4 linked regions of the Sus scrofa genome follow. The protein of the gene in region 2 purifies or fractionates together with the protein of the main gene of each other region. This does not show direct contact. Links are inferred from orthologs where the notes say so. Each region holds a gene or a part of one and is shown on either strand. Other genes may lie near its edges.

Evidence for each region. The genes of interacting proteins can lie anywhere in the genome.
Region 1: the proteins of KPNA2 (region 2) and PHF10 purify together in Homo sapiens (co-immunoprecipitation; 3 studies listed by BioGRID and IntAct, with this or other methods). This does not show direct contact. The link is inferred for Sus scrofa from reciprocal best matches to the Homo sapiens genes KPNA2 and PHF10.
Region 3: the proteins of KPNA2 (region 2) and CHD8 purify together in Homo sapiens (affinity purification with mass spectrometry; 4 studies listed by BioGRID and IntAct, with this or other methods). This does not show direct contact. The link is inferred for Sus scrofa from reciprocal best matches to the Homo sapiens genes KPNA2 and CHD8.
Region 4: the proteins of KPNA2 (region 2) and CHD4 purify together in Homo sapiens (affinity purification with mass spectrometry; 3 studies listed by BioGRID and IntAct, with this or other methods). This does not show direct contact. The link is inferred for Sus scrofa from reciprocal best matches to the Homo sapiens genes KPNA2 and CHD4.

What each region holds. Positions count from the first base shown.
Region 1 is NC_010443.5:555,507-559,697, forward strand, and holds the start of PHF10 (PHD finger protein 10), read left to right. Parts: upstream 1-1,391; 5' UTR 1,392-1,420; coding exon 1,421-1,507; intron 1,508-1,558; exon of another isoform or gene 1,559-1,932; intron 1,933-4,191. UniProt on the Homo sapiens protein: Involved in transcription activity regulation by chromatin remodeling. Belongs to the neural progenitors-specific chromatin remodeling complex (npBAF complex) and is required for the proliferation of neural progenitors.
Region 2 is NC_010454.4:14,289,579-14,293,137, forward strand, and holds part of KPNA2 (importin subunit alpha-1), read left to right. Parts: intron 1-382; coding exon 383-471; intron 472-1,542; coding exon 1,543-1,811; intron 1,812-2,048; coding exon 2,049-2,143; intron 2,144-2,241; coding exon 2,242-2,505; intron 2,506-2,688; coding exon 2,689-2,922; intron 2,923-3,142; coding exon 3,143-3,325; intron 3,326-3,559.
Region 3 is NC_010449.5:77,718,080-77,722,275, forward strand, and holds the start of CHD8 (chromodomain-helicase-DNA-binding protein 8), read left to right. Parts: upstream 1-1,396; 5' UTR 1,397-1,509; exon of another isoform or gene 1,510-1,555; intron 1,556-4,196. UniProt on the Homo sapiens protein: ATP-dependent chromatin-remodeling factor, it slides nucleosomes along DNA; nucleosome sliding requires ATP. Acts as a transcription repressor by remodeling chromatin structure and recruiting histone H1 to target genes.
Region 4 is NC_010447.5:64,070,189-64,074,426, forward strand, and holds the start of CHD4 (chromodomain-helicase-DNA-binding protein 4), read left to right. Parts: upstream 1-1,438; 5' UTR 1,439-1,676; intron 1,677-2,081; exon of another isoform or gene 2,082-2,383; intron 2,384-2,525; 5' UTR 2,526-2,603; coding exon 2,604-2,703; intron 2,704-4,238. UniProt on the Homo sapiens protein: ATP-dependent chromatin-remodeling factor that binds and distorts nucleosomal DNA. Acts as a component of the histone deacetylase NuRD complex which participates in the remodeling of chromatin.

The DNA of each region.
Region 1 (4,191 bases), on a different chromosome or scaffold from region 2:
GCACGCCAGCAGCTCTCGCATCTCTGGTGGGAGCTGCTGCATCAGCTACATTCCAACAGTCGTACTGTGAACCTGCACATTTTATGGTTGCAGCACGTACAGAGGTGGAAGTGGGTAAAATCTGCAAATGCAAGCAAGCTGAGGATGTTTTTGGAAAGTACAGTTTCCACGGCAGGTGGAGTCCAAGAGACCTCAAGGCTGCGAGCAGAGAACAAAGGCGGATAACGGGCAGCCACGGGAGCCGGGAACTCAGGACAAGCCAGGTCCCTCCACATCCCACCAAGACTAGCCCGCGGGCGAGGAGAAGGGAAGGGAGGGGAGGGGACCCCGGGCGGGCGGGAGGGGCAAGGGGCGGGGACCCCCAGAAGAGGAGGAGGGGGCGGGCGGCGGAGACCCCTGGGACGGAGGGGGCGGGGACATCCTCGAGGGACGGAGGGAGAAGGGACCCTCGGCCTGGAGAGCGGGGGGAGGGGAGGGAGGGGCAAGAGAGGTGGGGACCCCCGGGAACGCCAGGAGGGGGCGGGGCGGCGGGGAACCCTGGGTCGGAGTGGGGGGGATCATCTGGGAGGGACGGCTGGGAGGGCGGGAGAAGGGGCCCTCCGGATGGAGGGCGAGCGGAGGGGAGGGGACCCCTGGGAGGGAGGGGTTAGGAGGTGGGGACCCCCGGGAAGGCGAGGGGGCGGGGCCACCGGGAGGAGGGACCGCGGGAGGCGGCGGGAGGAGGGCCCCTCGGGGCTTAGGGGCAGGGGGCGGGGCCCCTTGGGAGGCGGGGCGGGGCGGGGGCGGGGCGGCGGGGACCCCCTGGCCGGAGGGGGCGGGGGCCCCCGGGAGGGAGGCGGCGGGGGCGGGGACCCTCGGCTGGAGGGCGAGGGGCGGGGCGCGGCGGGGCGGGGAGCCCCGGTGGGAGGAGAGGGCTGACGTGCGAGGGGCCGGGCCGGGCCGGGGGGCGGCGGGCCGGGGCGGGGCTGGGGGCTGAGGCAGCGGCGGGAGGTGGGGCCGCGGAGCGCGCCGGGCTGCGGCGGCCGGGAGGCGGGGAGACGGGCGCGGGCCGCGCGGGGCCGAGGGGAGCGGCCCGGGGCCGGCGGGCGCGGCGGCGGCGGCGGTGGCCGAGGGCCCGGCGGGCGCGCACGGCGGCGGGCGCGGCGGGCGCGGCGGCGGCGGCGGCGGCAGGGCGGCGGGCTCGGCGGCGGCGGCGGCGGCGGGCGGCGCGCTGGCGGCGGCCATGGCGGTGGCGGCGGCGCTGGCGGGCCGCGGGGCGCGCGGAGGCAGGGGCCGGCCCCCGGGCGGCGGGCGGGCGGAGGGGGCGGGGCCCGGGCGGCGGGCGGCCCGCGCGGCGGCGGCGGCGGCGGCGGCAGCGGCGGCGGCGGCCGGGACGAGGCGGCGGCGGCGGCGGCGGCGGCGGCGCGGGGCGCTCGGGCTGATGGCGGCGGCGGGCGGCCCCGGGTCGGCGCTGTCCCCGCGGCCGTGCGACAGCGACCCGGCCACGCCCGGAGCGCAGTCCCCGAAGGTGAGGAGCGGGCCGGGCCGGGCCGGGCCGGGGGTGGCGGGCGGGGAGGGGCCTGCGGGCGGCGGGCTGGTGCGTCCGGGCCGCCTGTCCCGGCGCCGCGGCCCAGCCCCGCGCGGCGCCCCGTCCTTTTGGCGGTTTCCGCGCCGGTTCCCGGGGCCGTCGTCCTCGCCGTGGAATCAAACTTTCCTCCCGGGCGGAAACACTTTCCTCGGCGGCGGCGGCGGCGGCGGCCTGGGGCGCCGTGTGCGTTTGGGAGAGTAGCTCGGGAGGAGTTGAGTCCTTGGGCGAAACAGACGCGGAAAGCACTGCAAACACGCTGTCCCGGTGGCGGACTCAGCTGGGGGCCGCGGCCGTGCTCCGCGGCGCTGAAATCCCCAGGCAGACTCGGAGTTTCGTGGCTCGTACTGTGGGGACGTGTTTGTAAGGTCAGAGTTGTGCAGAAAATCGAGATGAGCGTGAAAACCTCTTGTTTTGAAGTGAGTGTACGGGTTCGTGACAGGGGAGCGGAGCGTGCCCTGTTACTGAAGCTGGACGGGGGGCCGGGGGCCCTGCAGACGGCCCTGCGCGAAGCCTGGCTCCCGGCCTTGGCCGCTGCCCGGGCTCAAGACCCCACCTGTGCGAGCGGCTGGCCCCGGGCCCACACCGTCGGCTTCCACAGTGCAGGGCTCGCCCTGCCCAGCTCGAGGGGTCTGTCCCAAGAGCATTTCATCTGAAGGTGGTAGCCACCTGTGACTCAGATGCAAGTAGCTGGCCATCTTAACACCCGGGTTTCTGTGTCAGCATCGAGGGTGCAAGCACTTCTCTCTTGGTTGCCATCATGTTATGGGAATGTGTTGCAGTGATGGCTCTCTAATGTCCACTTTGTGTATAATCCATTTGCCTAGGACTTGTAATAGCCAACTCAAACACTACATGTGAAATTGTGGTTTCAACTTTTTTGAGGACTTTGCATTTTTAACTTTTTTTTTTTTTTTAAAGGGCCACATGTGCAGCATATGGAAGTTCCCAGGCTAGAGATGAACTCGGCCTATGCCACCCACATTCACTGCAACGCCAGATCCCACGGAGCCCAGTCTGCGACACACACAGCAGCTTGGAGCCATGCTGGATCCTTGAGCCCCACTAAGCAAGGCCAGGGATTGAAACTGCATCCTCATGGATGGTAGTCGGGTTCGTTGCCACTGAGCCACAACAGGAACTCCGCATTTTTAACTTTTTGTCTCTTTTTTGGTATCTTAAATTTTTTAGCCAAGGGAAATATACTTAAACAAATTGACGTAAAAGTCCTTAAAGTGCTAAGAAGCAAGTGAGATAGATAGGAAATGATACTTGAATGCTTATCGAATATGAAACCTATCAATTGGGAGACTTACTGTTAATTGTACGTTTTTGGAGGATAGATTTAGACTCTTCATCTCCTACCTGGTTGCTCTCTCTCAGTAGGAGTGTAAAGAGCTCTTTAACTGAGTGCTCACTTGCTAAGAACTGAAGAGGAGACTCACGGTTTTTGCTCTTTGGTAAAGAGTCTGAGTAAATTCCTAACAGGTGGAGCCATGTGAGATGTGACACTGTCGTCATGGTCGTAGTGACTGACTTGTATTGGGCACTTAGTTGTTTGCTAGGCTTTGCTCTGAGTGCTTCCCATGTAGTCGCTCTTTTAATTCCTGCCTGAGCCAAGGCCTGGGGCACTGCCCCATCTAGGTTTTGCAGATGAGGGTGGCTCCCAGAGGACAACCACTCAGCCCCCAAAGCCAGTGCCCAGTGGGATTCCAGGCCGCCCAGCTTTCTGTGCTCGACGAACTGCATACTCATTGCCTCTGCCTTCTTAGAACCATGGGTTTAACAAAATTGATTTTTTAAAAACCCATTTTAGTCCTGGAATCTTGTTTTTTTTTTTTTTTTTTTTTTTTTTTGGCCAAGCCTGTGCTGCGGTGACAGCGCCTATGCCCTGAAGGCGCTCCCTCAGTCTGCTCTTTTTAAGCCTTATGCTGTTAATTCTTAGCTAATATATGATTAAATCGACTTCCTAACCTTTGTTGCCTCATTCATTTCCCTAATGAAGCGGTCTGACGGCCTTGATACGGTCAGGTAATGGAAAACATCACTTAAAAAAAAATATATATGTCTTTTTGCTATTTCTTTGGGCCGCTCCAGTGGCATATGGAGGTTCCCAGGCTAGGGGTCAAACTGGAGCCACAGCCACCGGCCTGCGCCACAGCCACAGCAACGCGGGATCCGAGCCGCGTCTGCAACCTACACCACAGCTCACGGCAACGCCGGATCCTTAACCCACTGAGCAAGGGCAGGGATCGAACCCGCAACCTCATGGTTCCTAGTCAGATTCGTTAACCACTGCGCCACGACGGGAACTCCACTTAAAAATATTTTAAGCCTCTTTTTTGGGGAGGTAGTGTGTGTTATTTTACGTGTGTATATATATATATATATATTTTTTTTTTTTTTTTTTTTTGCTAAATTTTTGTAGTGTAAGAAAAATTATCAGGATTGGTAATCTTTTTTTAGTCCTGTGTGTCTTCTTCAAAGATCAAGGATTTAAAAGATAGCCAGTAAACCAGGTATGAGTTGAGTTGAACACTAAATAATCCATACATTTTTATCCTTGCTGGCTAGGAGGGTTTGCTTTCATTTCAGAGGACTGCAGCAGTCTTACGTGTGTTATTAAA
Region 2 (3,559 bases):
TTTTTTAGCAACAGTTTGCTGGGGGTACTCTCATTACTTGAGACTTCATTGAATCATGACACCAAGTTTGACAACTGTTCTACATATTAAATAATGAACATTTAATTAGGCAGATTTAAATGTAGGATTCAGAAGTTCCCCTGTGGTGCAGCAGCTTGAGGATCCAGCATTGCTGCAGCTATGAGGCAGGTGGCAACTGCAGTGTGGGTTCAGTCCCTGGCCCAGGAACTTCCACATGTGGGTATGGCCAAAGAAAAAAAAATGTAGGCTAAACTTTTCATAGCTGTTAGAACAGTTTACACATTGCTGGTAGGGATTTTACTGTTTGTAGTTAATCTTAAAAAAATGATAGTTTGCAAAATTAATTCCACTGTTCTCTTAGGGCACCGTAAATTGGTCTGTCGATGACATTGTCAAAGGCATAAATAGCAACAATTTGGAAAGCCAGCTCCAGGCTACTCAAGCTGCTAGGTAAGCCTTGTCTCTATAGCATGGATAGCCTTTTTAGATTTTTAGATTTTTTTTTTTTTTTTTTTTTTTGGTGGGAAAGAGGTGGTTTGGGTAAAGTCAAAGTTAAGCCATGCATAGGCCTGTTTTCATTAGAATCTTCCCTTGAGAGAATTTAAAGATTTCAGTAATTGCCAAAGACTCCATGCACCTCCACTGATAATGATTATTAGCTTTTTGGTGTATATTTAAGAAAATTACAAAGTTTTTATCAACATGGCATTTTAAGTCAGTGTCAGGGAAGAAGGAATTATTCAGTAAGTGGGATTGGTCCACCCATTTAGGAAATAAGTATATTTTTAGACTCTTATCTCTGTAGACAAATAGTTTTGACATCCATTTTAGCAAGGATTAATAATCTCTGGCTTGACAGTGTGCAGAAAAGCAAATCTAGTTGACAGATGATCATGGAAAAATGTTAAATGAGAGTGTAATGCTATCAGATTGTTAGTTTTTTTTGGATTTTTTTTGTTTTTTGTTTTTGGTCTTTTTAGGGCCACACCTGTGGCATATGGAGGTTCCCAGGCTAGGGGTCTAATCAGGGCTTGTAGCCACCGGCCTACACCAGAGCCACAGAAACACTGGATCTGAGCTGCATCTGCGACCTACACCACAGCTCACGGCAACGCTGGATCCTTAACCTACTGAGCGAGGCCAGGGATTGAACCTGAAACCTCATGATTCCTAGTCGGATTCGTTTCCACTATGCCACAACAGGAACTCCCAGATTGTCAATTTTTTAAAAGTGACAAGACCTAAAGTAGATTTCTGCAGGGATGCATCGAGAAGGGTTCTACATTATTGGTAGTATTTCAGTATGGGGGAAAAAGGTAATTTAAGACATCACATATAATAGCACCATGCAACCAGTCTGTTGAGGTCCTCTTAAATTTTAGGATATCTCAGCACTTAGTGCTTTACTGTAAAAGGTTGTCTAATGCTCTGAACTCCTGAGTTACATTTTAAATTGTTTTTCACTCAAACCTATTTTGTTAATTACCTTCATCTTTTGTTTCTCCTTTTATTTACCCTTAGGAAACTGCTTTCTAGGGAAAAACAGCCTCCCATAGACAACATAATCCGGGCTGGTTTGATTCCAAAATTTGTGTCCTTCCTGGGCAGAATGGATTGTAGTCCCATTCAGTTTGAGTCTGCTTGGGCCCTCACTAACATTGCCTCTGGAACATCAGAACAGACCAAGGCTGTTGTAGATGGAGGTGCTATCCCAGCATTCATTTCTCTGTTGGCATCTCCCCATGCTCACATCAGTGAACAAGCTGTGTGGGCTCTCGGAAACATCGCAGGTACTTGGATTTCAAGTTCTTTTGACTGAATGTCTCTAATACTGAGGTTGGTTGAAGTGCCTTTGAGTTAGGGATTGAACTTGCTTCCAGTGCTTATAAGAGGTAAAAGTGTCATTTATTTATTTTAGGAACTATCTGAGTGTTTCCTTGTATCAAGACACTGGTACTCAGTCAGTGAAATTGATGGTGCTAGACAAGTAGTTATGATTAACCTTGCCTTTTTAAATTTTTTTTAAGGGGATGGTTCCGTTTTCCGAGACTTGGTTATCAAGTACGGTGCGGTTGACCCGCTGTTGGCTCTTCTCGCGGTTCCTGATATGTCATCATTAGCAGTAAGTTACTTAACCATAAGTCAAGTTACTTGTTGATTCTGATTTTGCCCACCCCCTCAAAAAATGGAGAACTTCATTGCATTTTTCTTTTCCCCCAGTGTGGTTACTTACGTAATCTTACCTGGACACTTTCAAACCTTTGTCGCAACAAGAATCCTGCACCCCCCTTAGATGCTGTTGAGCAAATTCTTCCTACTTTAGTTCGTCTCCTACATCACGATGATCCAGAAGTTTTAGCAGATACCTGCTGGGCTATTTCCTACCTTACCGATGGTCCAAATGAACGGATTGAAATGGTTGTGAAGACAGGGGTCGTACCCCAACTTGTGAAGCTTTTAGGAGCCACTGAACTGCCGATTGTGGTAAGTTAATTTTCAAATGAGAAATAAAGTATGAAGAGCATAATCAGTCAGTACTAATATTGACATACTACCTATTTTAGGCCACAATGAGCCTCTTGTCCAGACTTTTAGGGTGTAGCGACTTCGAGCAGTGGTAGAAACGATGAAGGATAACCAGCAACATCAGCATTTTTCCCTTTCCAGACTCCTGCACTAAGAGCAATAGGAAACATTGTCACTGGCACAGATGAACAGACGCAGGTTGTCATAGATGCAGGAGCACTCGCCGTCTTTCCCAGCCTGCTAACAAACTCCAAAACAAATATTCAGAAGGAGGCTACGTGGACAATGTCAAATATTACAGCTGGTCGCCAGGACCAGATACAGCAAGTTGTAAATCATGGATTGGTCCCATTCCTTGTTGGCGTTCTCTCGAAGGTAAGAAGCCTTAGGCCTTCATAAAGGATTGCTTCCAGAGGCCACTTGGTAGAACTGTACTTCATAAGGTTCTTAATGTACTAATGTTAGGTCCTACTTATAGTCTTTTGCTAAATAATAGTCAGATGGTAGTTTTAGTCACTATTTTTCTAAAAGAGTACTTTTGGAATCTTATTTTTATGCCCATTCTGAAATACACCTGTTTTCTTGTGTTTATTAGGCAGACTTTAAGACACAAAAGGAAGCTGTATGGGCTGTGACCAATTACACAAGTGGTGGAACAGTTGAACAGATCGTGTACCTTGTCCACTGTGGCATAATAGAACCATTGATGAACCTCTTAACTGCAAAAGATACCAAAATTATCCTGGTTATTCTGGATGCCATTTCTAATATCTTTCAGGTAAGTTGCCTTTTTTTTTTTTTTGGCCACACCCTTGGCATGCAGAAATTCACAGGTCAGGGATCAAAGCTTAGCCTCAAAAGTGATGACACTAGAGGTTTGGTGGGTTTTTTTTGTTTTTTGGTCTTTTTTTAGGGCCGCACCGGTGGCATATGGAGGTTCTTAGGCTAGGGGTCGAATTGGAGCTGTAGCTGCCAGCCTCCATCACAGCTCATGGCAACGCCAGATCCTTAA
Region 3 (4,196 bases), on a different chromosome or scaffold from region 2:
GTCTCCTAAGGTGTCTGAGCTTCTGCCACGTGTGACCATGCAAATGTTACTCCTTGAGAAATTCCTTTAGTAATTTGGAAAGACTCCCTTCGAGAATTCAAAAAAGAAAAGCTGGAATTCCTGTCTGGTTAGGGGTAACGAGTCTGACTAGCATCCATGAGAATGCAGGTAAAATCCCCAGCCCCCCAGGGTGGGTTAGGATCCCACCTTGCTATGAACTGTGGTGTATGTCACAGAGGCTGCTTAAATCCCACATTGCTGTGGCTGTGGAGTAGGACAGTGGCAACAGCTCCAATTCCACCCCTAGCCTGGGGAGCCTCCATATGCTGCGGATGTGGCCCTAAAAAAAGAAAGGACAAAAACAAAACAAAACAAAAAGTTCTTGTAGCTAGTTGCAATACCAGTAGAGATTTAGACTAGAAAACACAGGAGAATCTTATTGAAGGCAAGAGAATTTCACCTACAATAAAATTATTTCCTTTTCAATTTAAACGCAGTTTTTAGGAAATTACTTTCTGAAGCCAATGTTTCTAAGGCTAACTCCTAACACGCCTCCTCTTGCATATAATTTCACCTCTAAGACTTCTATCATTTGCTCTGTCTATATTCATGGGTAGTTTGTGTGTATTGATGAACTGAGTTTTTTTTTAAAAAGTTAAAATTCTTCCCTAAATTCTGTACATCTTCCATGGACTAGCGGTACTCTGTACTGACAAAGTCAGAGCACTGGACAACTTGCAAGAGAAACATAAGGATTAGAAGCATCTAGAATAGATGCATCACCTATGTTGGTCTTAAGTGGATATACTGAGGAGTAAGGTGTCTCTAAAGGATTATCCCAGGAACTCGGAAAATCCACTCATTCCAAGAATTCATTTTTGCTTCTTTGATTTGGTTAAGGTGGCTAGATTTGGTTAGGATCTTTCACTTGTATGACGGGGGTGGGGGGGTGGGGGTTGCTTCCGGGCACATTCAGCATTATTCCAGGCTTTCTCCCCATCGTGACTAAGGGGTACTCCGATTATACAAAGGAGTGTACATTGGGGTTGTATCTAAATAGTCCGATAGAACTATTAGAACAGAGACTTCAAATTCCTTAAGCACGCCTTCTTCCTCCCGGCCCCAAAGCACCAGCCGGATCCAAGATGGCTTCCTAGAGCCAGGTAACTAAATGTTATTTTAGTTTAGAGCGCCCCCAACGCCGGGGGTCAAGAAAAGAAGCCGAGAGATCTCAACGCCACAGAACTGACCCGTCAGAAGCAAGCTACCGCCAGATTTTATTTTCAATCAGGCATATCTGCGGTTGCCTCAGCCTTTTAGGACCTCCCACCCCAAGAGACTTCCTGGATGGCACTCACTCTACCCTGCTGGAGGAGGCCGGCCGTCGGCCCTGCCATTGGTGGATGGGAGCGTAGGTGGGCGGGCCCAAGGGAGAATGGACTACTAGCAAGCTAGATTGAAGCGAGGGCTGACCATGCTCCGCCGGAAGGCGCCTTGTTCTCAGAAAGGGTGAGTTGAAACGCTGGCTGGAAAGGAGGTACCAGGACTTGTTCAGGTAGGCTTTCCGCTCACGCCCGCCGCTTAGTGCTGGTCCAAGAGTCTTTGCAAACGCTGAGGCTCTTAGAATTGGTTTCCATAACTCATCCTCCTCCTCGCTCCCCCCGCCCCCTGCCCGTCCCCCAGTTGTGAGGAATCAGGTGCTGGGTGATGCTCTGGACTGAACCATTCTCCTTTGTGAGAGGCTGGGGGAGAGGGCGGCTGCCAGGCCCGGGGCCCGAGCCGGGCCGAGCCGCGAACCCGGCTGCTCTGAGCCCTGTGGAGTTTTCAAGGCTTGTCATTGCATTATTGAGCTTCGTGTAGATTTGAGACAGCTCCTTGTTCTCCTTGCTCCTTCCGTGGAGGGAAAACTCCCCGGCTCCTTTTGGTTACTCCATACTTTGGGCTCAGAAGTGGGAGGTTAGGGTTTTTTCCTTTTTTTTTTTTTTTCTGCTTGTTTTTTGCCTTTTAGTAATAAAGGTGGATAGGAAAGCATGGGGTGAACGTGGGCAGATTGGTTTACGTTATTAGATGTAATTTCTGTGGATCTTTGGGAGATCAGAGCAGGCTCTTGGACAGTGTTTAGAGATGGGGAAGAGAGAGGAACTCAAGCCTTGCATCTCCATTGACAGGTCTGCAGAGCTCAGTGGTTTTTCTGTTGCATTATGTAAACTCTTCACTAGCAGGAGATACCTCCCCCTGCCTCGGAGTGAATGCAATTTTTTATTTTCCGTCTCCTCTGTCGCAGGAAATTTCCCTGCCATTGCAGCAGCTGTGCACATGTAGCAGTTCCTACCTTTTAAGGAGCAGTCCCGAAATGATTAAGGCCTTTAAGGACGAGGTGAATAGTGGTGTGTTGATATTTAGTGGACCAATCTCTTTTGACTCTTTACGCTCAGTGACTGAGCATAGTGAGCCAGAAGTCGAAGACATGGCACTCCGTGTCTTTTTCTCTTAAAGAATAGACATGGTGGAACGCCCCAAACACCAAAGGTCCTGCATTTTCTGCATTGTCTGTGTCTGCTGCATCCTACCATCACACTAGCATCCACAGACTGTTTACTCTTCATCTTGTTCTAAACCTCTTCATCTTGTTCAATTGGGGATTCTCTGACAAGGGTATCTGTAACATCTGATGAGGTCCTATCTGGTGTGGGGTACTAGAAGGTGAGTTTGTGATTTGAATAATGTTAGTTAATTAGGTAATGTCTTCTGCTTAGGAATTTCTTTTGTATTAGTCACCAAATAAATTTCAGAACAAACTGTGGTCAACCTCTTAGGGCCAAAATGTGGGAAGCTTCTCATTCCAAGTATTTTGGATTATCCCACCCCTTAAAAGAAAAGAAGAGCTATAGAAAGGAAAAACAACATTTTCCATTTAGGAAGACCAGTCACAAGAATGGTATGCTGGTGGGTCTTCAAGGCAAGATGAAGGACATTGGCCAAAGAGAGGGTAACTGTGTATGGGAGAGGTAGGCATGGGGGGAGGTTTAAAACTGAAGTAGCAAAGGAGTAATGGATTGGGATAAGAGATGATGGAGCAATGCTTGGGGACTCGCAGCGTTCTTGCCTTTCCCATATTTGATCTGTCCTGTGCATTTGGCCTTTTGAGTGTGTCGTTTCCCAAATTGACAAAATTGATTTAGACACGGATAGAAAATGATAGAAATAGAAATCTGCTGAGCTGATCTGATCTGGTTGTGAACCACCATAAAACACAAATTTCCCAGGACAGCCTTCTCTGCCGCACCCATTGGGTCATGGGTAGCAGAATCTTGGCATTGTGGTAACCACCACTGTAGTTTGGTTTGTAACAGGAAAATTTGCCGTTTCATGTGTAGGGTCAAGTTTCTGATAGGTAAGGTAGGGTGGTGAAGGGGTTCAATCTTTAAAAGAAACCATTGCACACGTGTCCTTAGAAAAGGATGCCATTCGAGGGGGGCAAAGCTACCACTTAAGATTAATTTGTGAGTGCCAGGTACTGTGCTTGCTTACTGAAAGAATGGAATTTGATATTCTCATCTGTGGAAGGACTGTAACATTTTCATAGCAGCCAGCTGAATGCTAAACGCTTTGAAGATATTTGTCCACAGTCCTGAAAGGCTTAAGCTATGCTCTGAGCTTACGCTGAGCCTAATACCCAAAGGATGACACATATTTTTCTGAACCCTCTACTCTCAACCCCTAAAAGTCACTCCACTTCTGGAGTTGCATCTGAGCAAGTCCCTGATGTGCAGGTCTTTGCTGGACCTATCCTTGCACTACTGTGACCAACTTAGTATTTACTGTTTTACTTTTAGCATTTGATCCATTGGTATACTATCATGTTATATGTTCCTTTAGTTAGTTAGTTATTCTTTTTCTCACAGTCAGTGGTCTTCCCTTTATCTTCCTGTTATGATTTTGTTCATGTTGCCTTTAGTTTTAACTTACATTGTGCTTTTTTGCATCTGTCTTGTTGAAGCCACTTAAGAATGCAGAAAGACCTAATTTTCAAGCTGTGGTTTCTTGGGTACCTAGTACCCAGGTAACAGTTGTTTATCTGTATAAGAAAGCTGCAGTATGAACCACTTATTATTGCCTAAAGGTTAATTTAACCATTTATTACGTTCTAAATTTTATCCTGAATAACCTCCCCCTGACCCATTTTATTTTGTGTG
Region 4 (4,238 bases), on a different chromosome or scaffold from region 2:
TGGCCTAGGATGAGAATGGACCACTTGACCTGAGGAGGTGGTGTGGGAAGGGGACTGCTGGAATGTTGAGAAATAGTCTTTAGGTGGGCATTTGTAATTATTATGGGATGCTCTGAGGTGAACTGAACTTTATGTGAATGGCTCATCTGACCAGCTTGGTATTTGGTGGGTCTTACTCAAAATTTAACTGGAGGTAAGTGTTGCTAAGTGTCTGGAGAACATCTGGATTTTGGTGGGATTGGGTGGGGCTCAGTCCAGTTCCTGCATGTCTGAAAATGATGGATGAGGAAAGCTAGAGTCTGTCCTAGACATCAAGAGACTTTGTGCCAGGATACTGCTTTGGGCCATTAAGGGCTGAAGGTGTGTACAAGTTGGGGCGGGGACAGGGCAATGTGGATAGCCTGCTTCACCCTTGCTGGTGTGGGAGTTAGGGTTTTAGACTGACAGCCTCTGGAGATGGGGGAGGGATGAGTATAAATATTATGGGATGCCTGACTGGAAAGGTATAGGGGTGGTAGAGATGAGCATTATGGGACCTGACTCTGGGTTGTGTTGGGAGTATTATTGTATGTTTGCTTGACCACAGGTTCTTTGTCATTATTATGGGATGTCAGGGTGTGGGTGGGGGAGTAAAATTATGGGATATCTTTCCAGTGCTAGAGGAAAGGAGTTTGGATGTCCATCTGTGAGGTGACTGTAGGGCTGTTGATCATTATGGATATCTCTGATAGAGGAGGAGTGGTTATTATGGGCTGTGGAGTGGGAATGAACGTCTGAAGCCTTGGGGTCGAGTTTTGAGGTTCTAGCCCACAGGGGCTGAGGGCAGCTCCCCAGGGGGTTGGTTATTATGGGATGTCAGTACAGAAAGTGGGAGACTGATTACTACGGGATGTGTGTGGGAAGTGGGAAGAGGCCGAAGTGTCCGTTGTTGGGGGGGGGTGAGTTTCTGACTATTATGGGATATCAAACTGGGGGTGGATGAAGAGTGGTTATTATGGGATGTCTGTGGGGGATGGGGATGAGTATTATGGGATGTGAGCATGAAGAGCGGGTAGGGGTGCTTATTATGGGATGGCCATGGGGAGGGAGAGGTGACGAATTATTATGGGATGTTAGCATTAGGGCCAAGAGTGAAGAAGTTGGCAAAGGATGGCTATTATGGGATGTCTAGGGGAGGGGTAAAGTGTTAGTTGCAAAAGGTCTGCAATATCATGAGATGTCAACATCCCTGGCATATATGTATATGTGTATGGAGTGCGTGCGCGTGGGGGGGTGATGGTTGTGGTGGTGGTGGTGGTACGGTGGTGGTGGTGGTGGTGGTGTCCGTGTGTATTATGGGATGGCCAGGAGGTGGGTGGTTGCCCGGGTGACACGCGCGCGCGCGCTCGAAGGGGGCGTGGCCAGTGGTTGCTGAGCGACGAGGGGGCGGGGGTTGCCCGGGAGACCTAGGGAGGAGGGTGGCGGTAGTGGAGGGGGGGTTGGAGTTGGTTGAGGTTATTATGGGCTGTCCGTGGGGGGGCGGGGCCTGTGCGGTGGGATTTCCCGGCCGGTGTTTCGGGCCCTTTAAGAGGCGACGCTGGAGCCGGAGCCATTTTCCCCCCTTCGGCCGCGGCGAGGAGGAGCCGGAGCGGGAGTGACACCCGGCCGGACCCTGCGCGACCTGCGGCGGCTCCGGGGTGAGGAGAGCGCGGGGTTCCCAGACAGAAGCCCCTCTCATCCCGACCGGCCCCGAGGGTCATCCCTCCACCCAGCCTCTCTTCGGGCGTCCCCGGACCCGCAGACCGCCCCCTGCCCGGGAAGCCGACCCTGCCTCTCCTTCCCCTGCAGGGCGCCCAGCCCCCGCCCTCGCCCTGCCCGACTCTAGCTCTCCGCGACTCCCACCTCGGGCTTTGCCTCCCACAATGCCCGGCGCCCCCCTCGCCCTTTGCTCACTTGCCCCCCGGGACACGTGGCCCGGCCCCCCGCCTGGTGGGAGCCCCGGCCCCCCACGCCCCTGCCTCCAGCCCCCCGGAGCGCCGAGCCTCCACGCCCCCTCGTCCCCGCGGCTTCTCCGGAGAACCCGAGTTGTCCCAGAGGACAGCCTTTGGAGAGCTGCCCTGTCTGGGGACTGGCCCCTCCCCAGGCGCAGGGAGTCGCCCCCCCACCCCCAAGTGACCTTGTGTCCCCAAGCGCCTCGCCGCCGGCCGCCTCCCCCGATCCTCCCCCCACCCCCCCCGCGCCGCGGCCACTCGGACCCCCTCCCCCGACACGCCCGGCTCAGTTCAGCGGCTTCTCCCCTCCCTACGCCGGCACCGGCTTGCCCTCGGGGGCGCCGCTTCCTCCGGTCTGGGGGGCTCCAGCCCGGGAGCCGGCTTCCGGGCTGCCCCTGGGAGTGTGGAACTAAGTTCAGCCTGAGTGGTTCGGGTGCCCTGCTCGGGTGGCTGAGGGGTGGGGGGGCCGGGGGTGGGCGGAAAGCGCGGCGGGGTGGGGGAGGGGGCCGTGCGCGTCACTGACTGTTCTCTTTCTCTCCCCCCTCCCCCGCACAGTGACTCGGGCCAGTGTCGAGGGCCCCAGGCCGCAGGCAGGAGCAGCTGGGCCAATTCCCTGGCCGGGAGCGGAAGGGGATGGCGTCGGGCCTGGGCTCCCCGTCCCCCTGCTCAGCGGGCAGTGAGGAGGAGGATATGGATGCACTTTTGAACAACAGCCTGCCCCCACCCCACCCAGGTAACATCTTCCCCAAGGGCCCCGGGCAGGAAGGAGCCATCTGGGCCCTCCCTAGTGGCTCCGTGAGGCAGGGTTGAGTTTCTGGGCTTGCTCTGTGCAGTGAGAGGTGGAGGGCATCCGAAGGGAGTGGTTCTCTTCTGCGGAGCTCTTGTGCGAGGGGGTTGGAAGCCATGTGCCTCCCGGGCTGCGCGGACCGAGATGCAAGCTTGCTGCACTGCCTTCGGGAATTGCTCTGCAGTTCCCGGTTGAGGGAGCTCTCTGGGCTGGCAGGCTTTGTGGGTCCTTGGAGGAATGCAGGTGGCTGGGACCCCTGGAGGCTGTGCAGTGGGGAAGGGGCTGGGTTGAGGATCGCTTTTGGAGGAGACCAGCCGGGCATCTCTGCCGGTAGGATCCTGTGATTGCTGCTGTGGAAAAGAAAGAGGGAGTGCTGGTTACTCTCTGATTATTTTTAGCTTCTGATCAGTTACCGGCTTTCTGTGCTGTTTCAACTGTGTGAAGTTTGAATTGCGCTCCGAAGCTGGAATCTAGAGTGCTCTTAGCCAGGCAGATTGCTGGAATGTTTTGAGTGGGGCTAGGAGTGGGATGTAGTAGCCTGCAGGGTATACTCCAAGGGACAGAAAGAAGAGAGATGACACTCTGGGCACCTCTCTTCCTCGGGCAAGTGGACTTAATCCTGGCTTTTTTCTCTAGACGGTTCTGCCCTGTGCAGGTAGCCTGGGGTTTGGACTGGTGGTGTGAGGTGTTTGTGTAGGTGTGTTGGGGGTTGTGTTGTCTGTGTTTTGGGGTGGGTCCTTGCACTGGCCAAACCCGAATGGTTATGCATCCTGCCTGGTTGGAATGGCTCTTGTTTGTCCTCAAGTGATGATTGGTGTTATGTGTCTAAGTGAATGTCTCTCTTCTCTGTCTGTCTTCAGATCCCTTAGCTAAGTCACCTCCTTGTTTCCTTGACCTTTTTTTCGTAGCTTTGTTTTTTTCTACGTGCTGTTTCTTCATCTTTTCTGTTTGTGGTTTTATTTTAATTCTGGAGCTTGCTAGTCCTGTATTTGTTTCCCATCAAATGTTTTTCACTTTTGCCTTCTCTCTCCATAGTTCCAACTGCAAGTTGAGGTGGTCTGGGAGAGATGTTTCTACTTTGGCACTTTCTAAGTTGGAAGTCTTCGCTTCAATCCGAGGCCATTTAGGAGAGGGTCAGTCTTGTCATTGAGTCTTCAGCTGTGGGGATGAGAAACTTAGGCTTGAGTCTCATCACTGTGTAGGGCGAGGTGGCAGATTTCTGTGCTGTGGCCCAAGGTGGGGTGGAGAATGGCGGTAGTGGTGAGGTGGTTCCATCCTGGCTTTGAGGGGCATGAGGAGTAGCCGGGCCGTCCAGCCAGCGTTGGTTCCACATCTTGGTTTCCCATTGGCCCCTTGGTCTGGGGCTGCCCCTGTGTTGATTGGGAGCTGTGCAGGCTCCCACGGTGAACTCTGCCCCAAGCTGTAGCGTGACCCAGTTTTTCCACTTGCCACACCTCATTCCTGCCCCTTTCCCAAATCTT